Linked DNA regions of Oryzias latipes. Each later gene encodes a partner of the first gene's protein in a complex. Links are inferred from orthologs where the notes say so. Each region holds a gene or a part of one and is shown on either strand. Other genes may lie near its edges.

Region 1 (16,296 bases):
TAGGAAAAGCTGCACAACTCGTGCAGGTTTCCCCCACATGTTGGTTCTCTTCTTTTTGCTGTCTTATCACCAAAACTGGCCTGATACTATTCTCCCTAACCAAACATTTGTCAGTACTTTTTGTTTTTATTGTAGTTCCATCTTCTTCGACTGCACTTTTATACTGATGCTTTATTTCACCATGTCCCAACCAACCTCCGACACGATGATTTCCAACCGTTTGCTTTTCTTTTGCTTGTGCTTTCTCTCCACATCTGTTATTCTTTGGTGTTGAGTGGGGAGGTGCACCTCTTGGATGGAATCTAGTTGTGGGAGGATTGGTACAAAGTGGCATGCTTTGTTTTGCTAACTTTGTCTTTACAGGGGTGGAAGCAGTGCTGCAACTGCTATGGATCAGGTTGGGTTCATGGCAAAATGTTGTTTTCCTTCCTTTTTTTCCCATCACATCTCCTTTTCTTTTCAACTCCTTTACCCTATGAAAATACAAAGACCCTCTTAGATAAAAGTAAAGGATGGTTGCTATTACAAAGACAAAGTTTTGCACACTGACCGATCAGCATATCTGAGCGTGTTGAGCGTGTGCTCAGTTGCTGAGTGTCCAGGTGAAATGTTGGCGATCATACACGTCATTGAGTCACCAACAAAGGAGTTTTTCAAAACCTGAAACAAGACTTAAATCATAAATCATGGAGCAAACATCAATATCAATGAAATACATGCATTTTTGACTCATTCTTAAAGTCTGTCACAGTACCTGAGTCAACCTGCTCTGTCGAAAAGGTGTGTGAGAGGCCTTTTTATCAAGAGAACGAATACATTCTTTGAGCTAAAGGGATTAGAAACAACGATTTATAACCTCAGACATCCTATGGAGTTTCTGGCTGAGTGAGAATCTGTCTTTAAAACTTACAGCCAACAGACTCTGGTTGATCTCTGCTCCCTCCATTCGTCTCTGCTTGTCTCGTTCTTTGGCATCTGATGCTCTTTCACTTCCTGCCAGGTCCACAAACCACATTCTGCACACATTCAAGAAAGCAACTTCTTTCAGTTGATATTTTCCCAAAACTATTGACAGCTTTTTGTCAATCTGTTAAAACCTGGTGGAACTTGTTGACAATTTTTACTCAAGTTATTCTGCTGTGCATCGGGTGAAAAAAGTAACAACAAAAAAAGATGTCAAATTCCACTAGTCCCCTAAGAGGAACTGAAGGGACAGCTGAACAATTTGGATCCTGAAGCACACAACAATACATTACAGCTTTTTCTTTGTGGTTCACCTCTGCACTATTTTGTCTTGGCAAATCTGACAGATTTTGTGAAGTTAAAACTTATACAGAAAAGATAAATAAAAATATTTGATGGAATAAAATAACTTTGCTTAAGTAATAAAACATTTTTGATGTATCTCACCTTCCCGCTGTGTGCTGGTTTGGCTCTCTCAGTTGAATCTGAAGTAAAGCATGGGAGCGAGAGGACAGTGAATTTACACCACTCACTCCTTGTGTTCGTTGTGCTGTTCCCTTTGAAACCACCTGGTGAAAGTAATGGCAGGGAAAAGTCCTACACCAGTTTTTTTTATAACTTTCAAATTTTCTGTAAATATCACTTACACAAACCAAACGTTAGATGATTTTTGGTGAATAATCTATATTCACGGAAACTTTCTTGTGCGTTTTATTTGTTTTGTTTTGTTTTCCTAACCCTTTGTTTCCTTTGGTTTCCTCATCCTTGCTTGAAATTCCATTGTATTTTTGTGTTGTATCTATGGCTGGCTGCTAACTAGAGTAAAAAACTGGGCAACAGAGCGTGACATAAAGCAGAGAGAACCAACCTCTAGTAGGGAATTGGCAGAGTCCACTCTGATTTCACGCAGCCCTGAAATATGGACGACTTTCTGTCCATCTTCTCTGGCAAACAACCTCAATGTAACAGAAATTTGTTTAAAGAGAAAAAACTTTTGTTAAATGTAGAATATCACCAAACAGTCTCAGCATATTAAATCTTGTATCACACCTTTTTCTGTGATCCAGCAGGTCATACAGCTGACTACAGTAGATTTCAAAGAAACTAACATACACCAGGAGGGGTGGGTATGAATGTGCAGTGGTCAGGTGAGCAAAGATGTCCTGAACTGCCAGAGTGTATAGACCAGGTGTAACAGCGGATGACCCCAGCATGGTGTAGGTCTTCCCCGCCCCTGTCTGTCCATATGCAAAGCATGTGGCATTTCCTCTGCACACACATAACACAAACGAGAAGCTAACAAAAGAGAGATTTGGACACTAGAGTCTGATAAAAGAATTGGAGAGAAAGGTGGATAATGCACAATTTTAGTGTGAGCAAATCTGTGCTTACCTACCCCCTAAACATGTGCTGCACCAGAGGATAAGCTGTTTTCTGATATACTTCCTTGATGGAGCTTTCCTCCCCAAAAACATGGTCAAAGTAAAACTTTTGCTACAGTTTAAGAGGCAAGATGGAAAAAGAAATCAGTAAAACTGGCACAAAATTAGCATCTAACAAATGAAACAATGCATGTGTGCATGTAGAAAAAACCCCCACAAAAGTGTGAAATTTTTCAAGTACAAGGATCCATCAGCATCCTCTATGTGCACGTCTACCTGTAATATGTAGGGTGTAAGATCCACACTTTCTTTGCTTTCATGTACAATTACACACTGTCCGTCTGTTGCTGTCACAACATCAACTTCTCCTCCTTTGCACTCTGCATGTGACAAAGGTCTTTTCCTCACACAAACAGTAATTTGTTGCCCAACAGTCTGTCTGTCACACAAAGAAAATAAAAGCTTAAAGTCTGCAAGAAGCATTTGTTTTGTGTTATTGAATGAGAACAAAGTAGAAATAAACCAAAAAACAGCAGTAACAACATTTGATGCAACTTACTTTTTGTTTGAAGCAAAGGGAGAACTCCAGGCCTGAATATTGCTGTAGCTGTTTGTTGTCTTTGCTCCATGTACAGGTGGGGGCTTAGTCAAGCTTGAATTCAACATTTTCTCTTTTGTGGAGACTTTTGTACATTTATTTTCAAATGTTTTCTTACACGACTCTGGTGTCACGTGTGCAGGGCTGTGTAATATCTTGCTGTTCTTTGTTGATATGGTATCGCAGTTAAACTTCCGAATTCCTCCTGTTAATTCTGACTTTATGGTGTCATTATTATGATCATTACCCAGAGAACGATTATCCTCCAGTTTGTATTTCTTAGTCCTTCTCCGGACACATTTTCCCAGATGTTTGCCATCAATCTCAAGCTGTACAGGTTTGTTCAATCTGCTTACTTTCATTGAACCATCTTCTACATCATGACTTTGACTGACATAAATAACAGGACTAGATAGTGTAAGACTAGATAGACCAGACAACAGCCTCACGTTGGCTGAGTTTTCATTAGTTAAGATGAGACGTCTGCAAACATTAAAAGGTAACGTATCCGTGATTTCCTGAGAATTTCTACATTTATTTCTCACTTTGTCTTCCGAAGTTTCATGGGAATTTTGACTGAGTTTCCCATTTATTGGTATAAAGTCCTGAGCATCACATCCGTAGTTTGGGTTAATATTTTTGTCAAAGTTGACCAAATGGAAAAGTTGGATCCAATCTTCCATTGAGCGAATTCCTAGGAGAGGATTATCCTCTATTTTCAATGCTCAAAGGTGGTCTGCATGAAAAACACCCAACAAAATGAACCTAAAGGCAGTAAAAGACAAAGAGGAAAACAGTTTTAGATAATGAAAGACCAGTTCCGCTGATGTCCTACATTTACTCACCTAGCATAGTGATGTTCTAGTCCAAAGGTTCTCAAACACCCGTACAACCAAAAGGTCATGTCATCTCATGCCTATTCTCCGGCTGCTCTCTAGAAGAAAAAATACATTTTGGTTTCTTCATTAACTGGTCACATTAGATAAAAACAATGCCCAGCCAGGTGGCATATTCATGGATCAAAATTAATTAAAAAACTACAACCTAGTAGGTATGCTGGAAAAACTAAATATAAGGATTTCTCTCAGAATTACAGCCAATGGTCTCTCACTTTGTCACTGCAACCGGCATGCTCGCTTGGTCCTAGGCAAAGCATGCAGTGGCGTAATGCAGTGGTGGAAATTTGATACTTGTGCAGGACAGTGCCAAAGCAGCACTGTGCAGTCATCACACATTTCTTTACAGTGGCAAATAAGATAAATATAGATAACATGGGTGAGCAACACTTTACTCCTACTGTAGATTACCCATAAGCCTAAATAAAGTTGCCATATGGCAAGACTAAAACCCTCTTCAAGCTGGTTCCACTGAGAGGCTTAAAATATTGTTTACTCTAAAGACAGAGCACATCAATGCCAGCAATAATTCAATAAATATTCATTGATTTGATAAACTTTAATTTCTTGATTTATATTGACAATTTCAGTGCCTCAATAAATTAAATTAAATTAATTTTATTTATGTAGCACCTTTCATGACAACAAAGACAGCTCAAGGTGCTGTACATAAAAACAAAAAAAATGCAATAAAATACAATAAAATACATTAAATTAGCCCTGCACAATAAAATAGACAAAGACAAACACCAGTGGAAATAAAATAAATAAAATAAAGAGAAACCAGAATAAAGAGAAACCACAACCATAACACAGAGATGAATAAACCCTCCTGCTGTTCTGAGTTCACTGATAACATTCAAGCAAAATAACATGAATAACTTTCTTGTAGAAACAATTATAGATGTAAATTATATTAATTAATCTTACTGAATTAAGTTTAATTTTGTATGTTAAGTCACAACAGTTAAAATGCTTAGGAAACTAGTAACAAAAACAATGATTACTTCAATAAAAACTATTACCACTGATGCAGGGTTGAGGTGTCAAAACCTATTAATTATCCTTCAGATTGGTTTGCCTGATTTCCACATCCGTACACAAGTAGGTTTCCATGGCGACGCGAAGAACGCTAATTTCTTTGCTGCCCTCGTTAGTTTTCTCGACCGGAATGTTGCAAACAAAGGCAGAAAATCCAGAGAGACGATGCTCAGATCAACATTGCAGTCAGAGACAGAGATAATCCTTCAAAGAGTCTAAGCCGACAGACCAGGAATGAGCAGACTAAACCAAGTGAAAACAAAGTGGAATTCATAAAATCAGATGGTGTTATTTACTCTTTCTGATTAGAAAGATTGTGGATACGTTATTGATTATATTTATTTTTGATGACATTTTTAAAATAAATTTTAAAACTGGCCAAATGTTTAACCAAATATCTTTTTTGTCTGCTTGTGTGCTTTTTTTTTTTTTTTGCTTGTTTTTCCTTCAAATTTATAACATGAAGTCAAATGAAAAATAAAAATAAATGGGAGAATTAAGGTCCGGAAACAATGGCTTGTGTCAAACCGGTCCGTGTTTCACTGGGGACATCATTGAATGAAACACACAACACCAGCCTTCACCGTAAGATTTTTACTTACCTTTTTTTATTTTATTACTATTATTATTATTATTATTATTATTTTTACAAAGTCTGTTTAAAAAAGATAAGACACCAGTGGCTAAAGTTTGATAAATCGCATGTTAGCCTGGATAAAGTTAAATTTTTAACTCCTTAAATCCCAGCAAAGGCGTTTTGCAAGAAGTACTTATTTGATAACTAGGTAGTAGTACTACCAGGGGGGTATTCCAGAGAGCAGGTTATGCATGTTAGCACGGTAAATTTGAGGCTAAGGAAGTGGATAACCTCAGTTTTCGGTTCTTAAAAAAAAGGTATGTTTTAGGGTATGTCAAGTTGCCATAGCAACTCATGCTCTGAACATAACCTGGTCTGGAGCAGGTTTAGTTGAAGCTTAGTTTGTTTTCAGAGAGGTGAAGCAGCATAGCGTGTCCATTTGAAGATGATTTAGTGGATGAGGAAGCTCAGATAATACTTTTCCACCATGAGAGGGTGATAAGACCATATGATATGGATGTTGTAAACCTTTTTACATTGATCTAACTTAATTATTTGCTTCAGTTAAGATACTTTTTTTTTAGTTAAGTAATAAGTCAGCTGAAAAATAACACATAGTTATTTTACTTTCATTCAAATTAATTCAATTAAGTAAGTTTAACTTTGGTGCTACTGTTAGATCAGCACCGCAAGGAATTGTGGGATACCATTCCCTTTGCCTGTCTGGACGGATTTGGGTTTAAGTGTGGGTTCTTGTCCAAATGTGTTTAGTTGTTTAGCTGTTTTACTGTGTTTTGCCCAGTTATTTGTCCTGTTATGTTTAGTTCTTTCTGCACCATGAGTGAGAGGGAGGAAGAGGATGATGAGTTTATTTAGCACCCGTATTACCTAGAGACATAATGTTAAAGTCTGAGAAATTTTATTGTTATAAAATTAGTATATCTGTAGGCTCAAACTTAGACATATGAGAGTTCAAGAAGTACAATAAATTAAGATGGAAAAACATTTAATTGAATTGGAGTAATATGACATTTAGTTAGATGAATATGTAAATTTGAGTTGTAAAAATAATATTGAGTTGGGTAGACGTAAGAAATTAGGTTGAACTTTTTTTCTCCACGCGTTTCCATGGTGACTCCAGAAATCGGCGATCCATTGAGAATGTTTTTATGTACTTGCCGTGCACGCGCATTAGCCCAAGGTTACAAGGTCGAGCGCAATTACCACAACTCATATCCGGTCTTTTGGAACCAACATACCAAGTTCAGGCGGATTTCAGCCAGAGTTCAGGCTTAAAGTCAGGGTAGTTTAAATATGCTTCCTGGAATACTCCCCAGACCAACACATACTCTGAGACACCCAAATGTCTAAAATTCAATATAAAAAAATCTAAAGAAATTATAGAATTTGAGTTCAAATAGATATTGGTTAATAAATAAAAAGGGATAACTTATGACAAAATTGTGGTTCATTACTTACAGAACTTGCTACCTGATTCGAACACATCTCTCAGATGCATGTATAGTAATATTAGTATTATTATTATTATTACTACTGTTTGTGTGCACAAAATACTGATTAGTGGCCACAAATTATTAATCAGAGAGAATTTTTTTGAATGTCATGCCCAGGGCTCTGTAATTTTTAAAAGAGAAAGAAAGAATAAAAGGACATGAAATTAATGCATGTCCATTTGCACATAATTTATTATTTTGGAAATTATTAGTACACAAAGATATCTGATTGACTCAGCATAGCCGGTTTTATACTGTTCTATCAAACACAGTTGAGTTTTTATCAAAAACTTATTTTCGTGTCACAACTGGAAGAAAAGTGGCAAGTGTTACAAAAGAAATTCCTTAAAAGTGATACTTATGCGGCGTCTGTTCTCTGAAGGGATCAGCATGTCATCTGAGGAGGAGGAGGCTTCCCATCGTCCTTCTTCAGTGTCATCTCTCTCTGACTCGCCGTGTTCATCTCCTCCCAATTTGCACTATGTTGGAAAGAAGGAAGAAATTGTCAAGGCTGGGCGACTGACCAAGCTGTTAAACGGATGTAGAGATGTGCTCATCTTGTACCACGATAGACAGCTTTATGCAATGGACAAGCGGTGTTATCGTAAGTTTTGAGCAGCAGAGCAATACGCTGTGTGGCAAACTATTATTTTGAGGCGTGGCATGCACTTCCTTCTATGATACTGAAAAAAACTACAGTCTCTAATAACTCATGTTATCTCCCACTGACAGACTCTGGTGGTGAATTGCAGCATGGAGACATCGAGGTGAGTTTATAGAAATAAAAGCACAGTAGAAAAGTTCCTAACCATGTCAGACAGCACTTGACACGTTTTTCTTTGTAGAATAAAACTTCTGAATAGTATTTTTTGTTGTTATGTTAACCACAAGCTTCATGTCTTACTGTTATTAGGAGTTTAATGGACGGCTGTGCATAGTGTGCCCATGGCACAGTTACAAGATCACCCTGGCAGAAGGGGAAGGGCTTTACCAGGCAGTGGATGATCCTACCAAAAAGCCACCGAGGACTCACTGGCGTTCCAAAGGCGTCAAACAAAGGATTCATAAAGTCACAGAAATCAATGGGGATGTATTTGTAACACTGAATAAGTCTTGTGAGGCCATTGAATCTGACTTTTATCAGACTGAAAAATACAGGCCTGTTACACTGAAAGGACAACCGGTACCCAAAAAACAATAAAAAAAAATGTTTTCACTGTCTAACTAAAGATACTTTAATTGTTCTTGTGCTAATCAGGTAGCTTTGTTTATTTTTTTTTTTACTTTCCCTTTTTAGAAGTGTCTTTGTAAATGCTTTGTCTGCTGTAAATCCTCTTTTTTTTACTATCACTGATTATTGTAAAGAACCCTAAACATGTCTAGGATAAAAAAGATAGATCCTTATCCATCCATAGTTCCTACGAAGTTTGATTGAGTTTGTGTTTAACGTTATTTTAATATGCAAATCTGTCTGTTCTTTTAACAATATGTTTTTTTATTGTACAAATTTGACTCTTTATTTTTGTACTTACAGCATAACGGTGCCAGTAATCCTGACAGCTGTGTTACATAAAATAATAATCACAGAATATGTTTGTCATTGTTAGTCGTCAAAAACTTGAATTGAAAAATTCACAATAAATGCTTTAAAAAGTCACAAAAATTTCAACTACTACATAACCTCTACCATCTTCAGCATTTATATTAAAAGCAGGAACCAGTTATTGCAAAGTTTTAAGCTTCCAATGTTGTGATCACCAAGGAATGCTAAAAAGATCTGCTGACTTATGGGAAAATGCAATTTTTACAATCTGGCCTGGTTTAGAAAAGTCATATTATCACAAGATTATTTGCGTCAGCGTAATTAAAGTTTCAATGTTCATCTAAAATACATTTTGCTGCTCAAGCAAGCAGATTCATGACTCATTGTGATTCTTTCTTACCTCATGTGTCAGTTTGCTGTTGTCGGGATTCAAACGTGTCAGATTTTTTCTGTACAATTTTATCCTGACATAACCTAGGTTTATAATAAACGTTTTAAATTTTGTTTTTATTAAAAAGACAGCAATCACATCACAGAGCTCTAAAAATGAAACATAATTTCCACTAGGTGGCAGTAGTGAGATTGGCTTTTTGTAAAGTAATAGAAGAAGAAGCTGCGCACTAAGTATGCGCCAACGGTAAGACGGAGGATCTCGTTTTTATTTTAGCACTTTTTTTCATATTAGCAACAAAAAAAAAAAGAGTGTAAAACTTTTTCAGTAAGTGTAAGCTGGTGTATAATTTAATGAATGGAGGAAGGAAAATAGTTAAAGCCCGGAGACCCACTAAGTTCTGATTCTTGAATTCATGACATTTCGTGATGGCATCAGGTATGTCTTGGTTTTCACATTACTTTTGTTTTTTGTTTTTCCTTTTGCTCACTTCCACTCGCGTCGCGTGTTTTGCAGAAGATGAAGTGAACTTGCTGGTCATCGTGGTGGACGTGAATCCGATCTGGTGGGGCCAGCAAGCTCAGCGTGAACCAGAGGTTCCATCACTTCTTTCTCTTTTCCACCCCATAAATAATCTACTACATGAAAAGCATAAAAGTGAAAGTAAAGGACAACACATAAAATATAGATCTAATCCATCAATTAAAAAAAAGAGAAACGCAGAATTTACGAAAACAAAAATTGGAATAATTAAGAATTAAACGTAATTTTGATTGATGCCTTTTTAAATAATAAACAACCACACTAAAGTCAGGATGTGTTTATTCTCGTTGACAACTTTTGAAAAATATTGTTTATAGTTATACATACGTTTGAGTACAGCTGACCACATCCAAATTGATCTTTTCCTTTTTCAAAGGATTAGATCACTTCAATGGTGCTTCAATTTTCATCTTGATTTCTGAAGCACGGTATTTTAAATGTGAAATTTCATTAAACTAACAGTTGATATTTATGTATTCATAATTATAGGGATAAATCTGATGAGCAACCCAGAGATTGAGATTGTAGCATCAGTCTGGAAATGTCACTTTCTAAATAAACTTCAGGTTTATTGTGTACCTAGTATGCAGTGGGGCAAAGAACTATTTAGTCAGCCACCAATCGTGCAAGTTCTCCCACTTAAAAAGATGATGAGAGGCCTGTAATTTTCATCATATTTTCATGTAGTTTTCATCATACCTAAACTATGAGAGTCAAAACGAAAAGAAAAAAAAACAACAACCAGAACATCACAATGTCTAATTTTTAAAGAATTTTCTTTTTGTAAATTATGGTGGATAAGTATTTGGTCACCTACAAACAAGCAGGATTTCTGGTTCTACTGTAAGAGGATCCTCTGTCCTCCACTCGTTACCTGTAGTAATGGCACCTGTTTGAACTCGTTATCTCTATAAAAGACACCTGTCGACAACGTAAAGCAGTCACACTCAAAACTCCACTATGGCCAAGACCAAAGAGCTGTCTAAGGACACCAGAAACCAAATTGTTGACCTGCACAAGCCTGGGAAGACTGAATCTGCAATAGGTAAGCAGCTTGGTGAGAAGAAAACAACTGTGGGAGCCATTATTAGGAAATGGGAGACATACATTACCATGCACTGATAATCTCCCCCCATCTGGGGCTCCCTGCAAGATCTCATCCCGTGTTGTCAAAGTAATCACAAAAACAGTGAGCAGAAATCCCAGAACCACACAGGGGGACCTCGTGAATGACACGGAGAGAGATGCGTTTTTCAGAGTGACAACAGTCTCAAACACACTGCCCGAATAATGAAGGAGTGGCTTCATAAGATGCATTTCAAGTTCCTGCAGTGGCCGTTACAGTCTCCGGATCTCAATCCCATAGAAAATCTTTGGAGGGAGTTGCAAGTCTGTGTCACCCAGCGACAGCCCCAAAACATGACTGCTCTAGAGGAGATCTGCATGAAGGAATGGGCCAAAAATACCAGCAACAGTTTGTGAAAACCTTCTGAAGACTTACAGAAAACGTTTGATGCCTGTCATTGCCAACAAAGGGTAAATAATAAGAATACAATAAGTATTGAGTTGAACTTTCTTTATTAACCACAAACCGGTACTTATTTTCCACCATAATTTATAAATAAATTGTTAAAAAAAAATCAGACAGTGATTTTCTGGATTTTTCTTTTCTCTTATTGTTTCTCGTAGGTGAAGGAGCCGGTTTAGCTCGTGCTGGTTTGCGGCGCCTTCCGTCCGTGAAACCAGGGTTCAAATCCGGGCTGCTCCCTGTTTCCTTCTCTACTTCTGTGCCGGTCCCAAGCCCGGTTGCGTTGAGAAGATTGCGTCAGGAAGGGCATCCGGCGTAAAACATTGCCAAGTTTACCATGCGACTTGTTCGCTGTGGCGATCCCTGATGGGAAAAGCCGAAAGAGGAAGAAGTTTCTCGTAGTTGAGGTTTTCCCTATGAAGAAAATTACAGGCCTCTCATTTTTTTTTGTGGTAGAGCTTGGTGGCTGACTAAATACTTTTTTGCCCCACTGTATGTTTTCATGGTGACTAATAACACCTTAAACTAACTTCACTAAAGAAGAATTTTAAAACCGCTAAGTATGTGGTTTTTATTTATTCTACATCTATTGTTTTGATGCATTATATCCTAATTTATTTCTGTTGAAAGTATAAATTGATAAATGCCACAGATGGCTTTGTTAAAAGCCAGAATGGCCTAACAAAGTTAAAAATCGGACTATTAACTGAAGTAGGGCTAAAGGAAGCCCTCATGACCTTTTTAATGTATTGGATCCACAATATTTGAAATTCGACAATATATATTGGAGAAAAAACTGTTTTCTCTCATTGTCCAGTTCACTCTGTCCAAGTGCCTGGATGGAGTCATGGTGATGGGAAACTCCCACATGGCTTTGACCAGAACAAACAAACTGGCTGTTATTGCCAGCCACTGCCAAGACAGGTAACTTTCTGTTTTTAACATATATTTAGTGCAAGCTAATAGTTTCACTAAAACTGAAATGTTTGTTTTATTGAAATCGTTTTAGTTTCCACAGATAAAGTACCGACTGGTTAATGTTCTGCTGCTTTTATGGCTTCTGTTTGATCTCTGTCCATTCAGTCACTTCCTGTATCCCAGTAAGAGTTTGGGAGGAGGGGGCGGAGCTGCAGAGGACACATCCTCCAGCAGAGACGGGAAGTACGAGCTCCTGGCCGTAGCCAACAGTGCCATTGCTGAAGAGATCCGAAATGTCCTGTCAAAAAGTAAATTACACGCATTCTTCTTTTTAACCCTTGTGTCCATGGATTACATGAAATCTTTCCACCTTTATCCACTTTTGTCATGGTAGGGAGAACACGTCAATGCAAGGTTGGGGTCATCTAAGGGTTAAATGATAAGCAGACAAAGCTTTCTTTGCTGAAAATGTGTTGTTATAGTCAAAATAATAATTAAAAGTGTGGTTTGAGTATTTTATTTAATCAATGCTTGTAATTCTTTATAGCTGAAGTGAGGGGCAATTCCACGGATACTCTGTTGGCCGGATCTCTTGCCAAAGCTCTCTGCTGTATCCTTACAATCTATTCTGTTTGTTGTCGTTCTAAAAAACAAATCCACACCAACAGTTTATTTTATAATACCTCTGTGGTCACATCATATATGGGATGAAGTGTAAAAGGGCTAAAAATACTAACATACTTTTGCTGCTTATTTGAAAAACAGGTGGAAACTTGTGTTTTTTCCCTAAGAATTGCCCAATTTTTGTTTCCCTGATGAAAAGAAGCCGGTTGGATCTTCCTATTTTATAAAGTAACAAATGTTAATGTGAGCTGTTTGATACATTTTCCTTAATGCTAATGAATACAGATATTTACAGGGTCTCAAAAGAACTTGACGGTAATGTTACTCATTTTGGACTAGGTATTGACTTGAACTTGTTGTTTTATTCCCTTACAAAATAAGTTGCGTTTATTTGTGTTTTTAGTTGGACAGGAGATTAAATCAAGAATACTGGTAAGTCCTAAAGTCATTTGTGAGTGTTTCTGACAACGTCAGACCCTGAGCTCATCTCCTGTCTTGGACAGGTGATCAAAGCAGCTGAGGACTGCGCTCTTCAATACATGAACTTCATGAATGTCATTTTTGCTGCACAAAAGCAGGTAACTTGGAGAAATCAGGTTCACGTGTTTTAATCTCCACTCAATATGCACTGTTTTTGTTAAATAAACGTACTGTCAAATACGTCAGTGACAACTTTAATATAAAGACTTTGACGTCACGCTGTAAAACCAGATATGATAGAACTTTTTTTTGTTTTAACTACATGCCACTGTGGGCTTTGATCTGGTGTGAATGGCCTTGTGTGTATGTGTGCGTTTGTGTATAAAGTCATCATAAAGGAATTTTTGTCTTCTTTTTGAAACAGAACATCCTGATAGATGCCTGTGTTTTGGACTCAGACTCAGGGCTTCTTCAGCAGGTACTTTTTTTTTTTTCCGACATGTTCATTTAGAGCTTAGTGTCACCGTTTACAGCACAAAGAGGATTGATCATTTTTGAACGGATTACTGCCAGCTGATGTGGGTTACAACAACATTCAGGAGGACCGAGTTTTGCCTCCTTGTTCTTCAGTTGTACAGCATTTCCGCTACCAGAGCTGAAAAGAGGTTTTTGTTTCGTTTTCTAGGCTTGTGATATAACTGGAGGCCTGTACTTGAAGATACCTCAAAAATTAGCTTTGACTCAGTATCTTTTGGTAAGAGTGAATTTTCGCATTGCTTTGGTGCAGCACATGTGATTTAAGGTCCATACTTTTGTGTTTTATTCCCAGTGGGTGTTCCTCCCAGACTCAGAGCAGCGTTCCCAGCTAGTATTGCCACCCCCTGCGCATGTAGATTACAGAGCAGCGTGCTTCTGCCACCGTAATCTCATCGAAATTGGTTATGTATGCTCTGTTTGTCTTTCAAGTGAGTGATTTACTGCCACACTATGAGGTCTCAGCAACAAATTCCCCGTATACTGACACTTCATTCTCATCTCTTCTTGAAGTATTTTGTAACTTCAGCCCGATCTGCACAACATGCGAGTAAGTGTTTTTCATTTCCAAGCTACCAAATCCGGCTTTTAAATTGTACTGCCAGTAAATGGGACATTTAGCACCAATTGAACTTTGTGCATTTAGACTGTTCAGTCTCGTTTTGTGTTGTTTCAGGACTGCCTTTAAAATCCAACTGCCACAGATGGTCAAACCTAAAAAGAAGAAACTCAAGATGCCTGCATGATTGCCCCTCCAATGTTATTCAGACCACTTCTTTGTCGTCACTTAAAAAAACTTTTGTAGTTTTAGATTTGTTGAAATTTTAAACGGGCTGGAAAATGCAAACATGTCAAGACAGACTTTTCACCTGTCATTCATACCAATGTCACAGACGACTTAGGAACATGCTAAGTTAAATATTTTTCAGCCCATATCTTAGTTGTTACTTGTAAATTGAAAAAACTGTACTTTTTGATTCAATAAATAAAATCTATAATTTTATTTGAATTAAAATTTCGTTTTTCTTGATTGTCTCAAAAGCATTATTGTGTGGAATCTATAGAACACAGGTTGCAATTTTGTCTTTTTTTATTATTTTAGATGACATTTTTAACACTGCAAACACAAAAAAGTTCTTCCCATTACATGAAAAGGGGTGAAAAATCTAATGAAAAAAACAAGCCAAATTCAATCAAACAATTTCAGATTATTGCAAAGCATTTGCATTTTGTTTTAGATATTTTTCCTTATTTTATTTTTTCTTTAATCACTGTATCCTAAAGTCAGTCACTAATTTCAACCAAGATGAAGAATATAGAAAAATCTAAATCTATTTTTGTTATGCAGAAGGGAAAACTAACAGTCCCAACTTTTGCAAATGCAGAAAACTGTCTGCCAAATATTTAATCTCAAGTGTTCTTTATTGTCCCATATTCTGCTCTTGTATACAAAGTCATTGGGAAATCACTCAAAAAGGAAAGTGGGGGAAAAGTTCCAGAATGTAAGTTGTGTAGTTTATCTCTGGACAGGAACAATGTTGCATCTAAAAAATGAAAAGAGAAACATGAACAGGTTTTGACTTTAGGTGTAGCTATTCAAAAAAAATCAAAAACAGCAATAAGAAAGTATGGTAAAGGATTGGTTTACCAGTATTTCATTTCATAAAATGGCTGTTTTTTAGCCCCTTTTAAATTTAGATCAAGCTGGTTCTACAAGAACTGATCCAAACAAGGGCTTGTAACAGTGAAGATGCTTTTTACTTACCCCAGCAGACCTCTGCCGGACCATCGCTGTGGGGTGAGATTCACCTGAACCTTTTGGCCAGCCCTTACAACCGTGACACGCAGAGCTTTCTGCAACAGAAACGCGATGAAGAGATTCCCATTTTAGTTAAATTCTTATGGAATTAACAGAAATTTGTTAAGAAAAATGTTTTAATTTGAAAGCAAAATACATTGTGGCAACAAAACAGACTTATTAGAAGAAAAATAGAAATGTTAATATATTCAATATAAACCTGCAGGACAACATCTAAACTTACCCCTTCACTGTGTTGCACGACAGATGCAATATTCTGGAGGTTCTGAAAGTTCTTGGTGTTTACAGAGCCAAACTCAATGACTTCATCTCCAACTTTGAGGCCCTTTTAAGGGAAAAAAAAGATATCTAAAGTAGTATAAATAGTTTCTTTGAGAATACAAAATAAGCTAAAATTCACTAACCGCTGCAGAGGCAGGTGAACCTTCAGTCACGGTGTCCACTTGTGCAAAAGGAGGAGGCAGGGTGACCTGCTGCTCCATGGGCTCCTCTGTGGCTTCTGCTTGGTCCTGTTCTCGCTTGGCCTTCTCTCGAGCGTGCAGCTTGTGCAGGGCTTCCTCTATCTCTGCCATGATGGCCTTATGGTCGTTTTGCAGACCTGAAAACAAAGAAATAACGTCTGTTGCCATAAAAGTTTAACAAAAAAGGGGGGAAATGAAGAAAAAAAAATACAGCAAAAATAAATAGTTAAACTAAAGAGTCTTTGCTGTTTAAAATTCTTATTGACTATAAGTTTTGAACTTTTGGTTCAAGCTATACAGGATCATGATCTTCGTCGGATTGTTGAATGTTATATTTATTTTCTATACACAACAAGCTCAATAAAATGTGTTTCAAAAATCTTATGCTTACATGATATGTTGTGTCTCGCCGTCCTGATTTGGTATAAATTCACATCCGCTCGTGGGTAACCCTCAGCGTCAACCAGTGGACCCTCAACTCCAACCCCCTGCTATAAAAAACCGATAGAATGATTGATTTTGGAAACTCGAAACCCAAAGAGTT
Region 2 (15,478 bases), on another chromosome or scaffold:
GTCCCACAAAGGATTTTGCTTCTTGGCCAAGATCAGGCTAGAAATAGAAACAAAAACAGGACTGTGAAGTAACCCCCCTGGTTAATTGACCGTCTTCTCTATCTGTATACATTTAATCTGTATGTATACAATAAATATCTTCTGAAAATAATCTGTTTTTAAGGACGAGTTAACAGCCGCAAATTTAGTAGTAGTAGCTTCAGTAGTGCAGTTACAATAGTTACTATTTTAAAGCAAAAGGAAATGTGTTCACATAGAACTAAACAAAACAGAGTCAAATTTCCATCTTGGTGTCGTATTTCCAACAGTCCTTTAATGCAGCACAATCTTGTGAGACTTGGTAATAATTTAGCTGACTCATGAGGACTTGTGTGTTTCTGTCAGTCTCTCCTTGTGTCTAACTGTGTCTGAAGATAACCGCCCAGCTCTTCCTGGACCTGCCCGATGCTGCACTGCTGGGTGGAGGGAGGAAGTGTCAGTTGCAGTCGATCCGTACAGGTTTCAACCGGTCCTGACCTGCTGGCTGCTGCCAGCCTGTTACCACTCAGACTGTTCTGCACGGTGACTGATGGAGAAGAGAAAATGACCAAAGTGGGGGATAAACCATCTGAAATTAACCACCAGGATCACGGCAGACTAATAAACAGATTATTCATTTTTTTCTCTCTAGTTTCATCTGCATTGCAGAAACTACATTGTGTGAGTGAGACACAAGAATGTTTACTCACGGCTGGGTGTCATCTTCTTCTATGTTATCCTCCAAAACGTGCTTTCAGGCAAGAACGTATTGAACTAAAAACTCCACATGAAAACGGACCGTCTCATTTGTGCCAAATAGTTAATCTTAGACAGAAACGAATGTAATGGAGATGTTTTGATTCATTATTAAGTGGTTTTTAGCTTTTTTGTGTGGTGCAATGGCATGCTAGTGGTTGAAGAAGAAGAGGTGCATGTGAGGTATGTGGTTTAATGGTTAATCACTGTGGTTTTCCTGTCTGGGTTGGCCTTTAAATGAAAGCTGCTGAAATGGTCCTGGCAACCAGTTTACCGAGTTATCCCATGAGACGCTGTTGTAAATTACCCAGCACAGACCTCTGCTTTCAGCTCGCATCGGCTCTGCGCTGAAGGGCTGCATGTGTGGTCTTGTGGTAGGCTGAAGGAATGCAGTAGCTGCATGAGGTTTGCTTAATTAAAACATCAGGAACTGCAAAAATGTTAATATTTGAGTTTAGGTGGCATGCTGCCTTCAGGAAATGATTCATATTTCTGAAGGAAGATAAGAAAACCTGAAGAAAAAATTGTTTTCCTTAAGTCTGCCTGTTGCACATGCTCGCCATCATGTCATGACTTGTTTCTGAGACAAGCACAGATGCGGCAGGAACTCTTTTGACTTTTTGACTGACTCAGAATTCCTAGAATGCATGTCTTTTGAATCCATCAAAACAAATCGAGTCATAAATGGCTGCTCAGCTCTGCTGATGCCGTGTGTGACAATAGACTGTGACTCGCTGTCGTGTCACTGATCCAAGCTGACATCAGCGGTGAGCCTTTAAATTCAATTGACTGCTAAATGATGGCGGCGAGCAGCTCTGTCCGTTAAAAGGAGAACACAGTCTTCTTCTGAAAACAGTGAGCTTGGGAAACTGGATAGCCAAATAAGTTTCTTTCGGTTATAGCTCCATCTGCTGTTGCACATGGCGGTGTTCAAGTAATGCTGACCTTTTGCTTTAGGCTGCTCTGAAGGAGGAAAACCAGGGGGGTATTCCAGAAAGCAGGTTATGCTAGTTACCACAGTAAGTTTGAGGCTAAGGAAGTGGATAACCTCAGCTTTCGGTTCCAAAAACAGTGGTATGTTTCAGGGTATGCTTAGTTCATAGAAACTCATGCTCTGAACATAACCTGGTCTGGAGCAGGTTTAGTTGAAGGTTAGTTTGTTTTCAGAGAGGTGAAGCAGCATGGCGTGTCCATTTGAAGATGATTTAGTGGATGAAGAAGCTCAGATAATAATTTTTCCACCGTGAGAGGGTGATAAGACCACATATGGATGTACACATCTATTATCAGTGCAACTAAAATGGCAGAAATATCGTACCTATCCATCCGTACAGTTTAGATCCAGATTCCAGCTCAGACCAGGTGTGAACGAAATTGTTTTATTATTATCATTGTTTAAGTGTATTTGGTTAAATGTATGTTTAAATGTTAACTCAGAGCTACCTTTTTACCTTTTTAGAAAACAGTTCTGTGTTTGTTCATCTGTTTCTCATCCCCAGCTAGGATGAGGGGCTTTAACGACACACTGTCCTGAGCTGATAAAGAATACTGTTTGAACTTAGAATCCACCCAAATGGGTCATTATACGACACCCCCTAATGAACTTTTCTATTTGTCTGGAAATTGTTACCTCCTACTTGAATTCTTAATAAAAGGAGCACGGGGAGAAGCAGTCATTTGAGAAGAGAAATGTGGTGGACATTTTCTGCCACATTTGCTTTTCTCCCTCGTGGATGACAAACTTGATTATTGTTGTGGTCTGTTTTTTCTAATTGTGTTTTTCTTTAATGTCTAGATGCATTTATCTGACACCAGGAAAACAAAGATGTTCATGGATCTATTTGTCTGCAGGTGATGATCAGAATGGAGCAGGTAGCTTCTGGTTTGCCGTTGCAAGTTCTACGTCACTGCTACAAGCTTTTTCAAATCCTAACTGTACTCTTTGTTAAGAACACCCAGAAACAATCAGCCACCTATTTTGGAACTGTAATATTACAAAAAAGTTTTGGAAAGAATGTACTTGTTTTATAAATCACAAATTTGACTCACAATTTCAGATGAAATTTGAATGAATCATATTTGGCCTACATAAAAAGAACATAAAATCAAACATAAAATTGAAAATTAATCCAATCATAATATAAAGTAAGTTAGACATCAACAAATCAAAATTTCACAACTTTTCCCCCCTGTATTTATTAAAGAATTAGAATCGTATTTATGTACTATTTCTAATAGCACAAACAAAAAAGGGAATACGTATTTATGAAAATTCTCTGTCTTTGAACATATTCAATGTATTGTGATGTGTTTTACAATATTTCTATTGTAATATATGCCATCCCCTGGCAGTCCCGTTTTTATGACTATTGTTCTTGTCATACATACTTGTTCTATGTGTTGTGAACAGTAATGCATTAAAAAAAACATTTTTTGGGGCAGAAATGCAGTTTTAAGATTAATTTTCTATATATGTCATCATATCATATCATGAGAAAAATGCCATTAGAACATATTAAAAACACCAAAAACGTGATTTCCATTAAAGTGGGTCTTTAACTTGTTTTTATTGGTTAAATGTTTTAGTAATGCTAGCTTAAAAATAAATGAAAGAAGCTTAAGAAAAAAAACAATGTAAAGAGAAAAAAAGACACTGAAGCACACACTCAGGTTTGAACAGTTCCCCAACCCAAATTTAACCATGACTAGTTTACCCCGACCTTAACTAAGCTCATTTACACATCAACCCTTTGGCCCGCGAGGGGCCAAAGCCTGCCCCTCATGGTCGATCAGGTGTCTGAAGGTCTCTGTGGGGTCAACATAAACCTGAAAAGCTGAAACACAACAACACACAACGTGTGTATTCATCATGAACACACGAATGAAGACTAAGAAGATCACCCAACTTCAACTTTCTAGTAGACCTGTCAAATGTGTAAACGGCAACAACATTGCAGGCAATGTAGTCTGATGATTTATTCGCTTTGGGTCTGAAATGTAAAAGAAAGGGACAGGTTTATTTTTTTCACCAAAGGTGACACAATATTTTTGACTTTATTTATTTATTTATTTTTAAACTTATTTGGCCTTCTTGACTTCCCGTAGTTGGTCACGTGATCAGAATAGTCTATAAGTACAAGTGCTGCATCCGTCCGGGAGAAGAGAGCGGAGGAAGATGGCTTCGACAAGTCGGTGAGTTGCAATGGCTGCTAACCGTTCAAAGCCCGGTTTTCTTTGTTAATGTGACTCAAAGTGTCTCGTGGTAAAAAACCACCGCGTCTTGTGATTGACCGTGGGACTCTGGCGGTAGAAAGTGTCGGGCTCCATTTTTCTTCTCGGGAATGTTCAGTCTTTTGTACTCCGTCCGTGACAGCCAGCTAGCTCGCGGGCAGCTTCACGGAAGAGGCTGCCCGTTAGAACTCCCGGTTTTGTCGTTTCTCTGACATCTGAACGTTGGCCTGAAGGAGTTCTGGATCAGCCTGAAACTCCGTGGAAACGCGCACGTCCGCACATTTACCGGGACTTAAACTCGTTAATATTTCTTTATGCTAGGAAAGTTGAAGCGATCGTGAAATGGGTATTTCCCATAATTCAACGCGTTTTGTTTTGGTGGGTAGATGACACAAGCAACTACAGAACCAGGCGACTGATAAATACTGGAAACATAGGCTGTTTGTAGACTTAATAAATATTTGTTAATCCTATCAAGGTGTCTGGCTTCTTCCTTGGAGAATGTAGCGGAACATCGACTTTAAGGGATTTTCTTTGTTCGTCATTTATTTGTTGTTTTTGTGCTCCTTTTTAACATTTTTGTTATCATTTGTGTTTTGCTTGTGCAGCGGAGATGCTCTCAGTTTACCCAGAGTGACATGTCCCAACCATCCTGATGCCATCCTGGTGGAGGACTACCGCGCTGGGGACATGATTTGCCCCGAGTGTGGGCTTGTTGTAGGTGAGTACTTCAATGATAAACCTGTACTTGGCCTACATTTGTTGGAGGTAAAATGGGTCCATAGCTGGAGAGGTTTGTCTTGATGCTGAAGCTGTAAAGAGTTCTGTGTGACCTGGCCTCCACAGTCAGACCTTCACATGCGCTTTGAACAAACCTAAAAGCTTTTTTTTCCCTGCTACCGTAATTTCCGGATTATAAACCGCCACTTTTGTCACACGCTTTCAACCCTGCGGTTTATTCAATGATGCGGCTGATTTATGCATTTTTTCTAACGGCTGCTAGGGGCGCTCGAGCAGAAAAGGAAAGAGTGAGACGGGGGATAAGGTATATGTGTCGAGGAAGACACAAGTTTAATGTAAATTCCCGCTTTCTGAATGAATAGCACGAACAGACCCTCATCATGGAAAATGCAAGAAGAAATGCATATGAGGCAGCTTTCAAGTTAAAAGCAATGGTTAACAGCAGTGTGAAAAAATCCACCATCACCAACGGGTTTGGAAAAGCCGGTCTGCTGCGTGACAGAGAGGACAGTGCAGACTCAGGAGAGAATTTACCTCAGGATGAGAGTGACACTGACAGCGACAACGAAGGAGAGACACAGAGCGTGTGTGGTGAAGAATATCTGACGCTTTTCCAATCCGACACTGAGGAGGAAGACTTCCATGGTTTCAGTGCACAGGAAGTTCGTGCTGCGCAGAGGCGAGCGCCAATAAGTTACTGCTGCTCTCAGTGACTTCTACCACGATGTTTTTTTTAACCAGCCCTGTTAGTGCTGTTACTACCGTATTGCTGCCGTGTTACTGCCGTGTCACAGGCACTGTTTGGAATAGAGCTGTGACGGTGTGGGATTTTTGATCACCGCGGTGATGAAGAAGCAGGAGAAGTCACGGTGTCGCGGTTTCCAAATAAATACCGGTATAAGTAATAATTACAACGCATTATTCTTTAACAAATAACAGTAACAACTAAATCTACCTAATGAACTAACTACATAGGTGTTGTAGAATGAGTATGTGTTTGTGTCAGCACACTGGGTGTGTAGGGGGAAGGAGCGTGAGTGAATGAGAATGCTCCCTCTTCCTATCCCGCTGCACGAGCTCCCCCCTCTTTCTCACACACGCCGGCGAGCGGTTTCAGCACGTACACATCCATTCTACAACACATGGTTCAATGTGGGCACATGCGGGCGGCTTAGACAGGTGCGGCTTATGTATGTACAAAATGGTTTATCCTTTAAAAATGTAATGGGTGTGGCTTATAATCAGGTGCGCTCTATAGTCCGGAAATTATGGTAATTATGTCACCTGTAAAGGAAGTCCATTTTATTCTCATCACGGATCTATTTTCAGCCATTTTTCCTCCAAAGAAAGATCAAAGCTCCAGGACTTTGATCTGGAACGACCACAGTTTTCATTTTCTTTATCTGATTGTCTTATTTTAATGTTGATGATGAATCTGCATCATTTACACACAACAGTACAAAGCAGTACGTCTGCAGTGTGTGCACAGATCAGTGTAGCACAATTTATCCCTCAGAAACGTCAAAGAAGAACCAAAAGCACATCAACAAATATCCACCAGAACCGTCAAAGTACGGTTTAAACAGAAAAACGAGATTGTTGCTCAAATCAATTACAAGTAATTCAGCGTGTAATCAAAGTTTCCACTCAGCCTTTCTAACATCACGGTTCTGGTTCTTCACGCCTTCTGTCCTTAGGTGACCGGGTCATTGATGTGGGTTCAGAGTGGAGAACCTTCTCCAACGAGAAAGCTCAGAAAGATCCATCCAGAGTGGGAGACGCCCAGAACCCTCTGCTCAACGGAGGAGATCTAACTACCATGATCGGCAAGGTGGGACAGCAGACCTGTGGTTAGCTGTAGATAGGGGTCCAACAGATCACGGATGATTCCTACGGATCTCTAGCCACGGTTCAGCACACATGTCTACTGCAGATAACCCCCCCACCTCCTCGTGTGCACCTCGCACGACTTTTGTGATCCATTGCACCCCTAGTGGTAGAGTGACAGCTGTGGTTCAGGTGATGGATGGAGGGGTGGATGGTTGGATGGATGGATAGATGGATGGATGGAGGGGTGGATGGATGGATAGATGGATGGAGGGATGGATGGATGGAGGGGTGGATGGATGGATAGATGGATGGATGGTTGGATGGTTGGATGGATGGATGGATGGATGGATGGATGGATGTAGGGGTGGATGGATGGATAGATGGATGGATGGTTGGATGGATGGATGGATGGATGGATGGATGGTTGGATGGATGGATGGAGGGGTGGATGGATGGATAGATGGATGGATGGATGGATGGATGGAGGGGTGGATGGATGGATAGATGGATGGATGGTTGGATGGATGGATGGATGGATGGATAGATGGATGGATGGATAGATGGATGGATGGATGGATGGATGGAGGGGTGGATGGTTGGATGATGTAGGGATGGATGGATGGATGGATGGATGGATGGATAGATGGATGGATGGTTGGATGATGGATGGATGGATGGATGGATGGAGGGGTGGATGGTTGGATGATGTAGGGATGGATGGATGGATGGATGGATGGATGGATAGATGGATGGATGGTTGGATGATGGATGGATGGATGGATGGATGGAGGGGTGGGTGGATGGATGGATAGATGGATGGATGGATGGAGGGAGGGATGGATGGATGGATGGTTGGATGATGTAGGGATGGATGGATGGATGGGTGGATGGTTGGATGATGTAGGGATGGATGGAGGGAGGGAGGGAGGGTTGGATGGCACGTATCCCCTCTTGTGGGTGAATGTCTTTCATCTGTGCGTTCACCATGAAGTTGATGGTTTTCTGCTTTTCATGTTGCTGCTGGTTTTCATGTTGCAGTAAAGTTACTTTCTTGTGAAACACGGCTCATCCACATGTGGGTTCTGGGTTCTTCTCTCCAGGGAACCGGGTCTGCAAGCTTTGATGAATTTGGGAACTCCAAGTATCAGAACCGGCGGACCATGAGCAGCTCGGACCGGGCCATGCTCCACGCCTTCAAAGAGATCAGCACCATGGCCGACCGCATCAACCTGCCCCGGAACATCGTAGTGAGTGGAACATCTGAGCACATCAGCTGACCGTTTAAGTCCCGCCCTCTGAGCGCGGTCGTACTTCGGTTCCTGTCCCTCCTCTTTGCTGCTGACGCCGTGTTAGATTTCATATTCCTTCATGTCTAAAAACCGCATGAAGCCTAAGAGCAGGTCAACGATAAAGGTTTTCATGTAAGCTGAACACCATTGAGGTTCAGGTCCTAGGAAGAAGGAGGCCTCTTCAGAGGCCTGAAACATTCTGCATGGGTCCTGACTGCTCATGCCTCCATGACACTTCCAGTCTGAGCTTCACAAACGTCTTTGCTCTGCAGGACAGAACCAACAACTTATTCAAGCAAGTTTATGAGCAGAAGAGCCTGAAGGGCCGAGCCAACGACGCCATCGCATCCGCCTGCCTTTACATCGCCTGCAGACAGGAAGGAGTCCCCAGAACCTTCAAAGGTCAGCCAGTTTATAATAATAATAATCCGATACCGACAACAGATATTCCCCCTGCAGCTGATGGGTGATGTCTGCAGATACTCAAGTGTCTACAACAACGCAGAGGTTGCTGGACAATCACTTTGACTTTTTTAACATACAGCACAGAATCTCATAGGAACATGGTTCACTTTAAAACCGTCATGTAAATATATTTGACAGCATTCAGAGCATTTATTGAATATTGGACATAACTGTAACCATAAACTCCCCCTCAACTAGGTCTATCTATTAAGAACACATATCTCTATCAAAAAGAACATTTGCCTGAAAACAGTCAGAAAAATATCGGTAGATTTTTTAATATCAGACCGATACCGTTGAACTGCAAATGTTGGCCATCCCTAGATTTCTTCAACACGTCCAAGCTAACGGCAGCGTTTCTCTGCAGAGATCTGTGCCGTCTCCAGAATCTCCAAGAAAGAGATTGGTCGGTGCTTCAAGCTGATCCTGAAGGCTCTGGAGACCAGCGTGGACCTCATCACCACGGGGGACTTCATGTCCCGGTTCTGCTCCAACCTGGGCCTGCCCAAGCAGGTTCAAATGGCGGCCACCTTTATTGCGAGGAAGGCCGTGGAGCTGGACTTGGTTCCGGGTCGAAGCCCCATCTCCGTGGCGGCAGCAGCCATCTACATGGCGTCTCAGGCGTCTGCAGAGAAGAAGACTCAGAAAGGTGAGACCACACGACAGAAATGACCCAAATGTCAATGTTACCAATGTTAGAGACCGGTGAGAAGGTCCGTCTGCACCTAAACGCAACATGAGGCTGGGGACCGTTTGGGTCCATCCTCTCCTGTTGGAGCAGATGTTCTGGATAGTTTACAGACCGGGTTCTTGTGTTCTACAGAAATTGGAGACATTGCTGGAGTGGCGGACGTCACCATCAGGCAGTCCTACAGGCTCATCTACCCCCGCGCTGCTGAACTTTTCCCTCCCGACTTCAAGTTTGACACCCCCGTCGACAAGCTTCCCCAGCTGTGAGGAAGACCAACCTCCAACCTCTTCCTCCGTCTCTGGTTCTGCTTTTGAATTTGTGAAGGTGGGAGGATTTTTCAGCCAGGAAGGATCCCTCGACAGAATAAAGTGGACACACATTCCAGACTGTTGTTTAGTATTTCAGTTGTGTGTACAGACTGTACCATGTGTAAATGTCCCGGAGGGGGGGGGCCATGCTCGCAGTTTTAGGCTGGTGTCAGACTCGACCCCTAAGACTGTTTTTGTAGAAAAGAAGCAGCTTCTATTTTGTTTGAATTAGTAATTTAAGATGACGATTTTCATGAATCATCTCGTGGTTTGAATAACAATAAACGGTTCTTTATAAAAAATAAAAAAATCTTCATCTTGTAAAGTTCTGCAAATATTCTGCTGAAATGTTTCTGAAGGACGGTAAAATGTTGACAAATTTGTGAGCAACTTTGTCTTCAGCATTACGTTTCTCACTGATGGATTCTTTACCCCAAAGACGTAACTCACACTTTCAGATTCCTGTGTATAACCAGAGGTTCAAAATGTAAAATCTTTTGATAAAACTGGAATTCTTACATTTTGTGTAAATTTTAAGAAGTTTCTGCTTACGTTTTATTGAAAAATATCAAAAGCTTTTGCCAAAGATATTTCCTACCTTCAGTTATTTGGAGCCTCATTCCACCAAACCCTCTGGGAAGGCCTGAGCCGTTCAGAGCGGTGGACTCCTTATGCACGCCTGAAGACCTCTGGAGTCTCTTCCAGACCCCTGGAGTCTCCTGTGGACCCCTGGAGCCTCCTGTGGACCCCTGGAGTCTCCTGTGGACCCCTGGAGTCTCCTGTGGACCCCTAGAAACTCCTGTGGACCCCTGGAGTCTCTTCCGGACCCCCTGGAGTCTCCTGCATCTCTGTTGATCTCATCTGAAATTTCTTATTTCTGCAAAAATCCATCAGATTTTTTAAATTTAACCAATTCCTTCTGTTCCACAATAAGATTTAGGTTTTCATGACATGGATCAACATTTCAAATGTTGCACATAAACATGGACCTGTTCTTTCTCCTTGAACCTGTGACTTCTGGTGGAATTTCCTCAAAAGCATTCAGTGGTTTAGCAGACAAAACAGTCGATGTTTGACTCTACGGGTACCATGGTTTTATGTTGATCGTTCTGATCCTCTGACCTAAAGTGGATCCAGATCATCTTCATCCAAACTTCCAGCAGTGAGACTCAGACAGAAATTCCTGCTACTGAACAGTGAAGTTTTCCAGATTATTGGATTTCTTCCAGATCATCAAGTGGAAATGAAATCTGTGTCCAAACAAACAAACAAATCAACTAGAATGAATGTTAAATCCATTCAAATTTTAGTTTCCTAAAGTTCAGTCCACTGTTGTTTTTCCACATCCAGAGAATCCAAAGGGAACATTCTAGACACTGGATGGTCACATGACTTTATTCAAAGTCTTTCCACACATTGGACTGGAATGATGGACTGATCCGTGTTAATGACATCACATGAGTGTTGTCTGCTGTGATTGGTCGTTTTTTATCTTAGAATAACATAAACCTACCCCACCTCAATCTAGATGGTATCTTCCATTACAGATGATCAATTTCTCAGTTTGAAAGGATTTCCTAATGGAATAAGTCAACCTGATTATCGATTTGCCTCAGACAGATGGATCTGATTGGGTCGTAGGCACAAAAATGGATTAATCATACACCCCTTAACCCTTGTGCTATCTTAGATGACCCCAGCCTTGCATTGACGTGTTCTCCCTACCATGACAAAGGTGGATAAAGGTGGAAAGATTTCATTTAATCCATGGACACCAGTGAGGATCACAAATCATTGAAGAAAAAAGGTTCAGAGCACTGTCTAGTGGGTCTAGATGACCCAACTCCCAATGTTAAAGTGCCCAGGATAGCACAAGGGTTACATAAAATCGGTTTGCATCATGATTTGAAACAGAAGGTTTGAGAGTTTTAGTGCAGAGCAGCAGGAGGTGATGCCGATGTTTCAGACCTCAGGAGTTTACAGATCATGGCTGAAAGCAGAGCCACTATTCCAAAGGTTTAATTTGTGCATTCATGATAGGTAACAAACAGTGAGAGGAGACGAACGGCAGCAGGTGGGACTGATGGGTGTACCGTTCAGACAGAAAACAACTGTACAATCTATTCTCATGAAGGAACTGCTAAACTTTAACTACAGATAAAATTAGTGCTTTCAGCTCAACTGTGTACATACAGTATGTATATAACATATCCCCCCCCCCTCCCCGAAGTGATTCATGTCAACAGGTCAGAGTCACGTTGAAAGACTGCTGTTCTCAACAACGCCACGTTAAAACGGTCTCCATGGAAACACGGCAGCGGTCTGCACTGGCTTCATGGAGCCGCTTCCCCTTGAGCTCATTTTGGTTTTGGCAGCTGGACCGGGTCCAGTCCCGCCCGCTAACTGTGTCGAGGTAATGAAAACACGCGGAGCCACTAGAGGGCGCCAAAGGCATTTGAACTGAAAAGTTTCTGCTTTCTGCAGGAAGTCGTGGGATGCAGAGCCGGCTGGCCTGATGGGTTAACCGACCTGAACTCCAACAACCAGGAGGGAAGTGTGGCGTTCAGGCTCGCTTGGTTTTCAAGTCAAGAAGAAGAAGTAGTAGTCAAGGTTGCTGTAAGTGACTGATGGGAGACTTCTGTTCAACCCAGATGAGGCCAAGTCGTCTGCAGAGCAACAGTCGGCACAGGACAACCGGTACGAACACGGCTACAGACGTGGTTGTGGTGGAAGCGTCTCCTCAGCGTTCCAGGGTAAAAACATTCTCAGTGGTCAGACAGCGGACGCCGCCGCCGCCGTCAGTCTGTCACTGTCATTCATTTGTTCTTTAAAAGAGAAAACAGCTCTTCGTGTGGGTTAAAACGCCCGCTGTCCTCTGCAGGCCTCTCCTGGACTCCTGTAATGGCACACGGTTCCTTTCTCCATGTCGGCAGGAAAGAGGAGGCGCTCCGGAAGAAGGCTGCGCTCTTCACAGTACGTTGGGGTGAAATCAGCACCAGTCAGCAATGTAGTCGAAGTCCGAAAACAGGCCCTGCTCCTCCGAGTTCAGCATCCGGGGCTCCCTGGGGGGGGTCAGGATGGGAGCTTCTGAGGTGAACTCTTCATCAAAGTTGCTGACGTCGTTGGCGTCCTGGATGGTCGGCACGAACGGCGGCTTCACCTTCTTGGCCAACAGCCCGCCCCAGTCCATGTTCTGTACGGGGAGCAGGGGAAGTTCAGCTTTCTGTTTCAGTTTGAGGATCAATCAGATTAAAACCAAGACGGACTAGACTCAAGCTCACCCTGAAGAAGGGATGTTTCTTCACCTCCTCTGCATCCTTCTCTCCTGCTCCCAGACGCCGTTCTGGACTCCTCCTCAGAAGCTGAGAGTTCAAAAGGTTAAACTTAAAGGGCCGATATCATACAACAATCAACTTTTTAAGTTTTGAAGTGTTTTAGAATGTTAATTCCTCACTATAATCAACTCCAAAGTGGTATTTTGATCTGAGTATTTCCCTAAAAAAGCCCCGCCCAATCCATGCAAAGGAGCAGGTTCTCATATTGTGACATCACTAATTGAGATCCACCCCTTCCAGGAAAAGTCTGGGCTTCCAGCCCCGCCTCCAGGCTAACGCACACGCCCACTTTCTCAGAGGAGCTAGCGGTGATCGGCTAAACGCTTTTTTTATGTATAAACAATATGAACATCCATCTTTGGAAAAGTTTTTTTTCGTGGGAGAAACACAGACACACTGTTGATGATGTCATAAAATGGGCGGCACACACAAAGAGAGAGAGGCGGAGCCTCAGGGATCGAGTCGTATTACTTCCTGGTAGGAAAATTAACTCAGGAATAAAACATTATTAAAAATGGTTCTTTAGTGTTCCAAAGGTCATATATGAAAATCTTTATGGATATAGTTTAACCCGGGACGATGAAGAACCATTTTAGTCCCAGATTCTCCCACTGAATGCTCTGATCCACGATGCAGATTCTGGAACTGTGTCCTTTCTTTGAACATTACAGACCAAACCTGCACAATCGGCCTCCCTGTCTGAATGCCACACACGCGTTGCTCCTCTAAAAACACACGTGTTGTTTGATCCTCAGCCAGCTTTTAACACACTTTGTAGTAATTCCTCTGTTTTTCTAGCAGAGGTGGTAACTTCTGCACCCTGACTGGGAGGTTGCAGGTTTGAATCCAATGCCTTCCTGCTTGACTCCCAGCATGGAAGGTTGGGTTGAGTTCAGATTTAGCGCGTTTGTCTGTTTTGCGTTCGTAAGCAAGTATTTCTGGTGCGTGACGGTGGACTGAGCGCGTGCAGCACACGCTCAGCCGTGACCCCCCTCCTCCCTCATGCTGACCGCGTACCCTCCTCATGATGGAGATGGCCTCTGTGGACAGAAACCGTGGGTAGCGCACTTCATCGTTGACGATGCTGTCAAACACCTCCTCCTCATCATCACCAGGGAAGGGAGACTGAAAGCAAATGAGGGATTGGTGATGAAGAGTTGACTCTTTGAGCGGCCTGAGGACACACGGCTCACCTCTCCAACCAGCATTTCAAAGATCAGGACGCCGAGCCCCCACCAGTCCACGGCGCGCGTGTACGACGTCTCTGTCAACACCTCGGGGGCCAGAAACTCAGGGGTCCCACAGAAGGTGCTGGTCCGGTCCCTGTAGCCCATTCCTAGAGGAAGCAGAGACGTTCAGAAAAGAAGGACCGACGCGTCAGAACGCTCTGGGTCCGAACAGGAAGTAGGGTTCTGATCCACAGGGAAACTCTGCCCCCCCCCCCAAAGGCTCACTCGGACATGAAGCATGAATGGAAAAACCCAAATCGCCAGGAATGTGGACCGCGCCTCCCGACCAGGAGCCGCTGGAACTGCAGGACTTTCACCTGGGACAGGTCACACCTCTGCGGGGTCCATCCATGTCTGATCATTGAACACCTGGTCGGCCGCTGCCCCTTCAGTTTGCGTGTGTCAGGTAGCAAAGTGAAAACTCTTCAGCCAATCAGTGAGCGGCACTCAGCTGATGCTCTGATACAGCCGGGATTTCATTTATGGGACGGCTGGGGTGCAGCGGTCCACCTCTGATCGTAACATCACAGGTTTGGTTCCCGCTCTGCACGCCCATGTGTTGAAGTGTCCTTGAGCAAGACACTGACTCCCACATTGCTCCTGGTGGTTTCAGGTTGGCGTCCGAATTCGGCAGCGGAGCCTAGCGGTGTGTTTATGTGGCTGTAAAGCGTTTACGACCTTTAAGGAAGGTTAAAGAAATACACGCCATTCGATATTTTTAGAGCATTTTTCAGTCTGATTGAACCGCCAGCCGCCGCTCCACCTGATGCGAGGCGGTGCCCGCAGAACGTGGCGCCTTCTGCTGCCACGCTCTGCTAGCACTTAGCAGCTAGAACGCTAACGGCTGCTTCAACTGCTGTGATGGACGACTGGTTGCTCTTCAGTCTGAGCTCCAAACGCAAACAGTTCACAGAGAAAGAACATGTTTAAAATAACACTTCATCTCATAACTTTTACATTTTAGAACAGATTCTCATCTCACCTTCTTTACAAAGCCCAAAGTCTGCTATCTTCACATAACCCTCCGTGTCCAGGAGCAGGTTGTCCAGCTTCAGGTCTCTGAGCAAAGTTACAAGGTCAACGTCACAAACGAAGCGGCACATCACACAAAAGCGACGCTAAAACTTTACCTGTAGACGATCTTGTGGTCATGCAGGAACTGTAACCCCAACACGACGCAGGCAGCGTAAAACCTGCAGAGATCAGATGAAGGCGTCAGTTCGACAGACCAGCGTTCGCCTGGCTACCTTTTCATGCACTTTACTGTCAACGCCACGCCAGGAGGAGGAGCGGGGCGGAGCGGCCACTCACACAGCCCGCGGCTCTGAGAACACGTCGGCGTGAATGTGCATCATCAGGTCGCCTCCCGCCGCGTACTCCATCACAAAACACACGTGCTCCGGAGTCTGGAAGCACGCAAACAGGTTGACCAGGAAGGGGTGGCGGACGCTGTTGACCGTCTCAAAGATCCTCTTCTCGCACATCAGGCTGAGGACAGAGACAGAAACCAGAATGATTCCCAGAGAAACGCCGTCAAGACCCGTTTGGTCTGAGCCGGGACCCCAGGAGGCTTTCAGAACCCCTG

Evidence for each region.
Region 2: gtf2h3 (region 1) and gtf2b share a complex: the UniProt entries of both Homo sapiens proteins name them as parts of the TFIID-containing RNA polymerase II pre-initiation complex. The link is inferred for Oryzias latipes from reciprocal best matches to the Homo sapiens genes GTF2H3 and GTF2B.

What each region holds. Positions count from the first base shown.
Region 1 is NC_019867.2:12,034,940-12,051,235, forward strand, and holds gtf2h3 (general transcription factor IIH subunit 3), read left to right. Parts: upstream 1-9,108; 5' UTR 9,109-9,333; coding exon 9,334-9,342; coding exon of another isoform or gene 9,343-9,343; intron 9,344-9,417; coding exon 9,418-9,501; intron 9,502-11,793; coding exon 11,794-11,900; intron 11,901-12,059; coding exon 12,060-12,202; intron 12,203-12,441; coding exon 12,442-12,504; intron 12,505-12,803; coding exon 12,804-12,833; intron 12,834-12,921; coding exon 12,922-12,950; intron 12,951-13,021; coding exon 13,022-13,096; intron 13,097-13,362; coding exon 13,363-13,416; intron 13,417-13,623; coding exon 13,624-13,692; intron 13,693-13,767; coding exon 13,768-13,903; intron 13,904-13,985; coding exon 13,986-14,022; intron 14,023-14,148; coding exon 14,149-14,218; 3' UTR 14,219-14,487; downstream 14,488-16,296. Other genes in the region: uncharacterized protein LOC105354722, read right to left, coding at 1-473, 551-660, 755-826, 911-1,016, 1,411-1,532, 1,832-1,919, 2,014-2,232, 2,360-2,457 and 2 more; Rieske domain-containing protein, read left to right, coding at 5,393-5,465, 7,354-7,575, 7,704-7,738, 7,885-8,172; psmd9 (26S proteasome non-ATPase regulatory subunit 9), read right to left, coding at 14,989-15,016, 15,238-15,326, 15,515-15,616, 15,696-15,889, 16,144-16,243. UniProt on the Homo sapiens protein: Component of the general transcription and DNA repair factor IIH (TFIIH) core complex, which is involved in general and transcription-coupled nucleotide excision repair (NER) of damaged DNA and, when complexed to CAK, in RNA transcription by RNA polymerase II.
Region 2 is NC_019875.2:5,817,154-5,832,631, reverse strand, and holds gtf2b (transcription initiation factor IIB), read left to right. Parts: upstream 1-3,870; 5' UTR 3,871-3,949; coding exon 3,950-3,966; intron 3,967-4,613; coding exon 4,614-4,726; intron 4,727-6,443; coding exon 6,444-6,577; intron 6,578-7,676; coding exon 7,677-7,823; intron 7,824-8,137; coding exon 8,138-8,267; intron 8,268-8,697; coding exon 8,698-8,979; intron 8,980-9,153; coding exon 9,154-9,287; 3' UTR 9,288-9,847; downstream 9,848-15,478. Other genes in the region: pkn2 (serine/threonine-protein kinase N2), read right to left, coding at 12,319-12,522, 12,611-12,691, 13,682-13,789, 13,858-14,000, 14,876-14,952, 15,024-15,086, 15,205-15,381. UniProt on the Homo sapiens protein: General transcription factor that plays a role in transcription initiation by RNA polymerase II (Pol II). Involved in the pre-initiation complex (PIC) formation and Pol II recruitment at promoter DNA.